Neurospora crassa OR74A: one gene and its partner. The protein of the gene in region 2 interacts with the protein of the main gene of each other region in a pairwise test. Links are inferred from orthologs where the notes say so. Each region holds a gene or a part of one and is shown on either strand. Other genes may lie near its edges.

Region 1 (4,249 bases), on a different chromosome or scaffold from region 2:
AATAGAAAAAGGGTATGGTACCTCCCCCAAAGCCTTTACCGCAACTGCTGTTTACCGTCGCCACTCGTGAGCCGATCCCCGCCTCTTTCTCGCGAAAAACACAAGACAAAGGGACCGTTTTGCATTCCCGGCCTACTTTATCAACACACGTGAAAATAGACACCCTGACGGTTTCCTACCCACCCCGCCGGTAATAGACTAGAGAAAGACCAAACGCTGAGAAAATGCGCGCAAAGATGTGGATAAATACGTATAGAGAGGGTATCCGGTAAACTGGTTCAAGACACAACCCCTGTGAGAGACACTGGCAACCACTCATGTGGAATATGATACGACCCGTCGAGCCAGACCTTGATGATTATTGGACGTTCTGCTCCAGCCAAACCGGGTCCAAAAAACCTGGTACAGACGTCCCTGTAATAATGCCCGGGGAATTACGCGACCCGAAGTTGATGAACGTGTCGGATCATATTATCCGGGGGGACGTTTTCTGGAGGGGAGAGGCGGGTTGGCGTACGGAGAGCTGAACAAAGCCAGGATATCGCTGCCGCCCACCTTGCGAACTGAACCCGCTGAAAATATGACGCAGCAAATCGAGTGGAGTATCGGAAAAACCGCTATAGAAGCTAAAAAGGATTCCAACCGGGGAGCAAGGCCAGTTGATGATGGTCCAAGCCCGGGGAGCCGAGATTGTTGGGTCGAAAAATATGTCGTGACTTCGTCCTGTCTACGCCAAATCGCAAGGATCAAGAGGCGTTACCAGGTTGAATAGAACAAATAGAAAAAAGCACTCGATAGGCTTGGCAAAGTGACGCGTCGTGGTCGGGTATCCAGAGGGTGCCGGTCGTATCAGTATCACACATGCGCCTAATATGCCCAGACCTTGAGCTGTGAGGGAGTTAGTCTAATCTGCGGCCTGTACCATATCGATCTGATGTTGCGGGTAGAAACTTACCAAGGAGTCCCAAGAGCCTGTGCACAAACTTATTCCATCGTTGGAAACGCCCAGACAGCTGACACGGTTTTCATGACCGACGAGAGAGCCAACCTTTTCAGCGCGAGTAAGATCCCAGACCTTGCATTCAAAGTCATCGTAACCGGCAAAGAGCAAACGTCCAGAGACTGATGTCGCGACAGAGGTAATGCCGCAAAGAATAGATTCGGACTACCCAAATGTTAGCTCTAAAGCCACCAAGAGAAAAAAAAATCAAGAACCGAGAGGAGAATAATCCACAGGTTACTCACGCGATAGCAGTTCAACTCTCTGTCTGCGCGGATATCGAAAAGTCTGCAAGTAGCGTCATCGGAACCCGTTACGAAAGAGTGGCCATCGGGGAAAAACTGGATGGCGTTGATATCGGACTCGTGGCCAGCGAATGTTTGTACGGCCTTGCCAGCGCGGATATCCCAAAGCTTAGCGAAAGAATCGCAAGCACCTGACACAAAGGTATTCTGGTTTGTGGGGTTCAAGCTGATGCTCATGACGTCGCCCAAATGGTCGGCGAACTCAACAACCTTTGTTCCTGTCTCGATATCCCACTTCATGCATGTCATATCGCCGGAGGAGGTGAGGATGCTGCGGTCGTTGATGAAACGGCAGCAAGAGAGATAGCCCGCATGACCTGAAAGCTCCCGGTAGACACGAGTTGGGCCATCACGGTTCGAGTTCAGGTTGTAAATAGAGCAAATGTTGTCAAGACCACCGCAGGCAACGAAGTTGCCGCTCGGGGCATAGGCGCAAGTCATAACCCAAGACGATCGTAGGGGAATGGCGTGAACTTTGTTGGTCGTATAAGCGTCCCAGATGATGAGCTTGCCGTCCTGAGATGCTGAGACAAGATGCCTCCGGTCGGTAGACCAGTGCATCGCATAAATCTTGGCCAGATGGCCCTTCAGCGTCTTCTTTGTTTTCATCATGTTGTTCTTCGGAAGTGGCTCATGGGCCTGTTGCGCGACCTCGTAGACTACACATCATGTCAGCAACACTATGCAGCGGTCAATCCGCCGTTGACGACGGCATGCATGGGCGGACAACGGCGCAGTTCGCGACCTGCCGACAAGGGGACTCACGGGAAGTATCGGCGAGCCCTTCCTTCTTCAGCCTGATTCTGTCCTTGAGATTCTCGGCCTCGCGACGCGCTTGTTGAATTCGTGCCTGCATCGCCTCTGGCGACACATCGCTTGATCGGGAGTCCATCTTTCTCTTTTTTTTTTTTTCTTGAGGTGTGTTGGTTCAATTCGTAATCACAATTGGCGACGAACTCGTATGAGGGACGGACTACTCCGAAGTGATGTTGTTGTGACTGGTTGAGACAGGGAGAATGACGATGACAAAGGTTGGACTCTAGGGACGTCGGATCTTCAGAGATGCAGCAAGTCGGAGTCGGTTGCTGGAGTGTGGATGTTGAGAATGGTGCAAAGCAGTGGTGCTGGTACGGGGCGCCGGTGGAGGAGGAATTGCTAGCTCCAGGGGTCGGGCGATGCGGTGGTGGGCCAATTCAAACAGCTAGGCAGGCGAGGCAGGTCCCGATCCTGCTCTGAACGAAATGACTGCTGTTGGAAAAAATGAGGAGAGTGGTGGAGAGGGATTGGGGGGGAAAAGCCTCTTGCTTGTCCACGGACAGACTCTTGTCGAACGAATGAGTGGATGGCGGATATTGACCAGGCGAAGAGCGACCCTGACAACCTAGAGTATGGAGACTAAAGGCAGGCGTGCGTGGCGTCAGCTTTCGAGAGAGGGTGGCAGGGCAGTGATGGACAAGAGAGTCTCGAGCGACGCGACCGACGCGAGTGACTGTCAGGTCGTAAAAGCAAGTTGGAGAGGCTGTCGCTAATCGACAGGAGTTCGGTGGTGAAGAACAGAAAGAAGGGGAAAAAGAAGGACTGGGGATCGATTTCGCTTCTGCGAGTGGGCGGGCGGCCGAATCGAACTGGCGAACGAAGAGGCTGGCCAGAGTTCCTCTTCCTTGCGATTATTACCTGGTGCCAGATTGGGTATGGGCCCGGGGGGAGGGGCCCGGTCGGGGGGTAGCACGATGGAGCCTTTGCTGGGTCGCTGCGTGCACTGCACTGGGCTACTGTACTCTACTGTAGGGGCAGAGCGGAACCTCCTCACAGAGTGACGGGAGGCCTGCACTGGGTCTACCTGTACTACCTAGCCTGTACTAGTGTCCGGGTACGTCTACGCTTGGGGGCAGGTGGAAGGAATGGAGGCCGTGTCAAGCGTCGTCCTGTGAAGCAGTGTGGAAGTGAAAAGCCCCAAGAGCCGGGTGTCAATGGAAGCGGAAGCGAGTGCAGATTGAGGTTGTGGTGTACAACTAGGTACAGAGGAACGGATTCGGTTTTTCCAGGTTCGTTGGTGTCCAGTCGGGTCTCCCAGGCAATGGACGGGATGGATGATGCGTGCAGCAAACCTCCCCAATGGAGCGAGCACACTACACTACACACGTCTGCATGAATATACCTAGTTTACACCTACATAGTACATACATAGTAGTAAAAGAGCAGCGCGGTACAGCCAAGGCGCTAGTGGTTTTACAGAAATCTTCTGTTTGAGAATGATCAAACTTGTTATTTCTTGTACAAGCTGCCATCTTGGGTATGAAGGCCCTGCCACCCCCAGAGATCGCCCAATTCACGATTTTTTATCCATAACACAGGAGAGCCCGGTCGGCGGACAGCGGGCTGGATGGCGGGCCGAAGGGCTTGGATGATGGAACAAGACGGGACTTTTGAGAAGGGAGTAAAGGGATTTGTGAACCTTGAAGCTGGGGCAGTTATTTCGACTTCTTGCCCTCTGATTCTGATCTTCAACATTTCAACGGCGGACATGGACACCTCGCACTAGCCACGCCGCACCGGACTGCACCGCACCGCACCCCCGATGGAACAGGAAGAAAGAAAACGAGTTAAATCTTGCCAAGCTCTTCAACAAGCCTGGCCGAAGGCACCGGAGTCATGGATCTCTGAAATTGAAGGCTCCGTTGCGCCCCATTCCTCGGGTGCAGCTCCTCCCCCGTGGTTGATGGGCGCATGTCGACTTCTCGCAGAGTGGATGCAAAGAATATCCCGCCGACTGACGAGACCTCCACCAAGAAAAGCCAGGAGGTGGAAGCTAAAGAGACTGTGGGTTCTCTGTGGACTTGGTCACCCTGCTTCTTTGCAGTGAGTGCCCTGGTCTTGGGACGTGTAAGCGGGCGGACAGCAAGGCCCCGCGGACGAATTGCACTTTGCGCCGATGGAGAGCGGA
Region 2 (4,323 bases):
AAAGTTGACAATATTGGGGTGTGAGCTCTCCTTCATAACCAAAATCTCATTGATGATGAGATCCTTCTTTGGCTGTTGCTCAAGGTTCATCTGCTTGATAGCCACCAGCCTGTTGCTTCCCCTTTCATGGCCAGTATACACACCACCAGAGGCACCCTGACCAATTTTGGTAAACCCACGATAAATCTCTCTCGGATCCCCGTCGGAGCATATCCTCTTTAGGGAAGCCACGACATCAATCGCGTTACTTTGCCGCGGTCTGTGACGGGGTCTCGCGCTAGCTTGGGGAGCCGCCCCCTGAGTCTGTGGCATACGAGGAGCCCCATTGATGTCTGGCTGCCGGGGGTGTTGGTGTTGTGAGGTGGGCGGAGTTGGTTGTTGTCTCTTGCTTGCAGCTCGGCTCAGTTGACCGCTCATTGCTGCCTGGGCTTGGGCCATGGCCTGTTCTTGCTGGTGTTGCAACAATTGCTGCTGATAAGCCGCAGTCTGGTTCGCCGTGGCGATCGGATGCAGTGGGGACGCCTGCACGGGAGAGAACGGGGCAGCGCCGTTTGTCCGGGAATTCGATCTGGACCTGTTCCTGTGCTCCTCCTGGTACATATGCTGGACATTATCCTTGGGAGGGAGGTACGGCATCGGAGCCTCATCACCGGGCGGTGGCATGCCAATTCCTGAATCCTTGGCTGGCAATGAGGCTGGCGGCACCAGCGGTCGTGTGGATATTGCTGGTGGCTTCGGTGCCGGTCTGCTGGGGATCAAGTTGATATCCTTTGCTGGAAGAGGGCCAGGGCCCTTGGGAACCGGCGGCGGCGCACGGGGGTTCTCAAAGCTGCCCTCATGACCAACTTGAGGAAACCTAGGACTAGCGGGTGGACTAATCATTGGCGACATGGGACCATGAGCGTAGCCAACGCCTGTTTGCAGTACGAGCGGAGCGGTGCCGGTCACGGGCGGGCTGCGAAAATCTGTCGCTCGTGCATCGTGGAACTTCTCTAGCTGTTGATCTTCCTGTGGCTTCTCGGTTGTCTCCTTGTAAAATGTGAGGACATCGACCAGTATTTGTGGGTGTTCTCTTCTGTCCTTCTCAGTGATTCCACTCTCGCTTATCAAACGCTGCCACTCTTTTGGCAAACCCTATCAACGTATTAGTCCATCCATAACATTCAGACTAGTTGACATGGCATGGCAACATACCGTGAACTGGCCAGTATTGCTATCATATCCGACGTGTGTGACGTGAACGGGGTTCTCTGGCGCCGAAATCAATGGCTTTTTCGGAGACCCAACTAAGCTGTTCATGAAGCCGGAGAAGCCCGACTTCTTCCTTAGCATACCGGGCACCCTGGACTCTTTACCATCACCGGAGTGTCTCTTGTTACTCGAAGAGCTGCTCTCTGACTTGGACGGCTTTTCGCTTGGCGGAAGTTGTTCAGCCGACGAGAAACTCGCCGAGTGGCGGAATGAAGATGCGCCCATGGTCTTGTTTGATATGGTGGATTTGGGCGACTTTGACGGTTTTGAAGATCTCGCAGCCTTGGAGTCCGTGTTTGAGCGCGATAGAGCAGGCGGGGGAGGAGGAGGAGGAGGAGCGACACGACGAGGAGAAATGTTGTTGGAGTGCGCAATCGTGGTCGTGGACGTGGGCGCGGGCGCGGCTGATAATTTTGTTGCCTCGATTCGACTGAGAATGGCGTTGCCGTCGAATGGAGCGCCAATCAGTTCATCCGTGGATAATTTGTTTTGATCGAAGGATCCAATGCAGGAGTCTAGTGGGTCGTACTGCTTGGATGTGTCCTTGTTCCTGGAGCTAGTAACGGTGGTGCTGGCAACAGCGCTGGGATAAGGCGGCGATTGAGTTTGGGGTTGCGACGATGAGGCCGGCGAGAGGATAAAGCGGTTGGTTGGTATTGTCTGCGTCGGATTGTAAGGGCGATTTGCGGATTGAGAGCGAGTGGTGTGGGAGCGTGGCAGAGAGAGGTCGCTGGCTTTGGTGTGGGCGGGCGCGTTTGAAGGGACGGAGACTGGGACGGATACGGTCCTGGCCAGAGATGGGCTTTGGTTGCAGTTGGGGCCCTGGCGCAGGCTGGAGGCGCTCCGTTTGCTGTCTAGAGATTGGGCGTCAATACGGAGCGATTCGACATTGAAAGAGGAGCTAGTGCGGTGATTTGCGGATGGCGGGCGTTGCTTCTTTGTGAGTCTTTTGCGACTATGCGAAGTGGAGGAGGACGAGGTGGGCGAGAGGAGGGAGAGCTGGCCGTCCATGGTCACTGCGAGAGAAACCCAACCCTAGCGTAGGGAAGGGCACGAGGGCTACGAGATGGGGTAACTAAGAATAAGAAAAGACAAGGAAGATGTTCAACGTACGGTACTGGCGGACGGTTTGGCTGGGGGCCGGGTCAACCAAAAGAAGGCGAGACTTGGGAGAAGAGACGGGAATTGGGGGGGTGGCAGCAGTTATTGAGGCGGGCGGGATAAGTTGGCAGGCCAGAATCACAGACACAGAACGGACAAGAGCAAAAAAGTCGACAATTGAAGGGGGACGGGATCCTGGAAGCTTGATGCCGGTCGAAAATTGCGCTTTGGTTTGTGGTGGGATTGTGTACAAGTTGAAGGTACAAGGTAGGAAAAAAAGACAGACCCCGGACCGCCGGCGATGCTGGGTTTGGCGGGGACTGGGTACGTTGAAGAAGGGGTGATGCTTTCTGTTGTTACTGCTGTGTGGGAACTCGGACTAGGCTGGCGCTTTTCACTTTTCCGCTTGTTTTCTCTAGACTATTTGAATGACGATTTATTTTTGATGGATCTCGAAGCTTTTTAGTATGCTTATCAGAAGGTCAGGGTCCGGCTACCTTTTGAGAGTGGTGAGCAGACGTTAGCTTGTGGACGGCACCCAATTGATGATTGAGCAGGGCAAGGTCGGGCATAGTCCAAGCAGTATGGTGCTGGTGCTACAAGTGCGCAGACTGGAGAGGGATTGGATGACTTGGATAAAGTGGGTGACTGGTTGGGCGGCGCGGGGGATTGCTTGCTTTGGGCAGGGTGTGTCCAATGGTGGTCCAACTTTGTACGAGTCGGTGTCGATGTGTGGCCGTTGACAGTTTGTGGGTTGTCGAATTTTACGAATCTCGTCAAACTCGTTATCGACTTATTGTTGGCCGGGCTCAAATGAGTGAACCCAAGATGGCGGACGGGTGTCGGCTATGCGCGGCGATGCTGCTGCTGCTCCTGCTACTGCTGGGCTGCTACTGCTGGGCTGCTACTGCTGCTGTCGTCTGAAGTTGTCTGGCTGTCGTCCGGTGTTGCTGACGGTCGGACGGCGGGCGGGGCGGGGACACTCGGCCTGCAGATGCCAAATGAGAATTGGAGACAAGGAAGCCCGGACGCAAAGTTCAGGGAAGCATACTATGATTGAGGTTGTGTCGGTCTTAGGTCTACCTATTCCCTTCGAATGCTTCGTGACTGCTGTCGGGCGGCTGTTGCTTGCTGCATCTGCACACTGCACCGCACAACAAGAGGGCAGCACATGCACTTTTCGGCTTCTAGACAGACAGCGGGAGTGTGTCCGGCCTTCTGGGAAGCAACTGAAGTCTACACTACACTACACTACCTACCTCTAGTTCTACATCTCAGTCCCGTCCCCTCTGCCAGACAGGGCAGGTGGGGACGGGTGGGGGACGGGAGAGTGGGACTACCTAGACTGCCTGGTGCAGTGCCATTGCAGTTGAAGAGAGCCACTTTCGACCACTGCTGCCACTGCTACCACTACAACACCACGAAAAGGCGCCTGTGAGAGGCTTCAAGTTCCATCAGTTCACCTGCCCACTTTTTTGTTCAACCGCCGGCGGCAACGGAACGGCGATGGCGGGGACACTCTGCACGGGAGACTGACAGGGACCAGGGCGCCACCACCTCTTCAACCTTTTCCCCTCGTTTCCTCTTGACTTTGGCATCATGTCGTCGAGGTTGCTTCCAACACCCGCTCTGGACCTTGCTTGACGCCGTCAGCTTGATTCGATTCCAATGTAGACGTCAACTCGAGGGCATTCCAGGTTCCGATCCTGATCTGGCCTGGCATCTTGGAGAACGAGTCTGCGTGCAACCTCTGCGGTGTTCTGTGGTCTCTGTTCGACAGTCAGTACAGTACCTCTATCTACATACAACACAGCCGCAATCTCTGCTTGCCCGCGTCAATCACGGCCGGGACAACCCCTCCTCCTGCGCACAGTGAGGTGGGAGGTGCTCATGCTCCTCGCGTGTTCAAGCTCGGCGCGATAGGACCGTGCTATGTATTCGCATAATTGAACTTTTTGAAAACGGGAAACC

What was found.
Region 1: the proteins of stk-4 (region 2) and gnb-1 interact in binary tests that used the Saccharomyces cerevisiae proteins (3 or more experiments, as listed by UniProt). The link is inferred for Neurospora crassa OR74A from reciprocal best matches to the Saccharomyces cerevisiae genes STE20 and STE4.

The regions. Positions count from the first base shown.
Region 1 is NC_026503.1:3,863,232-3,867,480, reverse strand, and holds the start of gnb-1 (guanine nucleotide-binding protein beta subunit), read right to left. Parts: upstream 3,041-4,249; 5' UTR 2,198-3,040; coding exon 2,071-2,197; intron 1,965-2,070; coding exon 1,246-1,964; intron 1,166-1,245; coding exon 956-1,165; intron 889-955; coding exon 868-888; 3' UTR 1-867. UniProt on the Saccharomyces cerevisiae protein: Implicated in the a- and alpha-factor response pathway. The beta and gamma chains of the putative yeast mating response pathway G protein play a positive role in initiation of the mating response.
Region 2 is NC_026506.1:2,078,558-2,082,880, forward strand, and holds the start of stk-4 (serine/threonine-protein kinase ste-20, variant 1), read right to left. Parts: upstream 3,054-4,323; 5' UTR 3,030-3,053; intron 2,923-3,029; exon of another isoform or gene 2,846-2,922; 5' UTR 2,263-2,845; coding exon 1,195-2,262; intron 1,135-1,194; coding exon 1-1,134. Other genes in the region: NCU03895 (hypothetical protein), read left to right, coding at 3,181-3,267, 3,618-3,657, 4,027-4,298. UniProt on the Saccharomyces cerevisiae protein: MAP4K component of the MAPK pathway required for the mating pheromone response, haploid invasive growth and diploid pseudohyphal development. Links the pheromone response G-protein beta gamma subunits to downstream signaling components.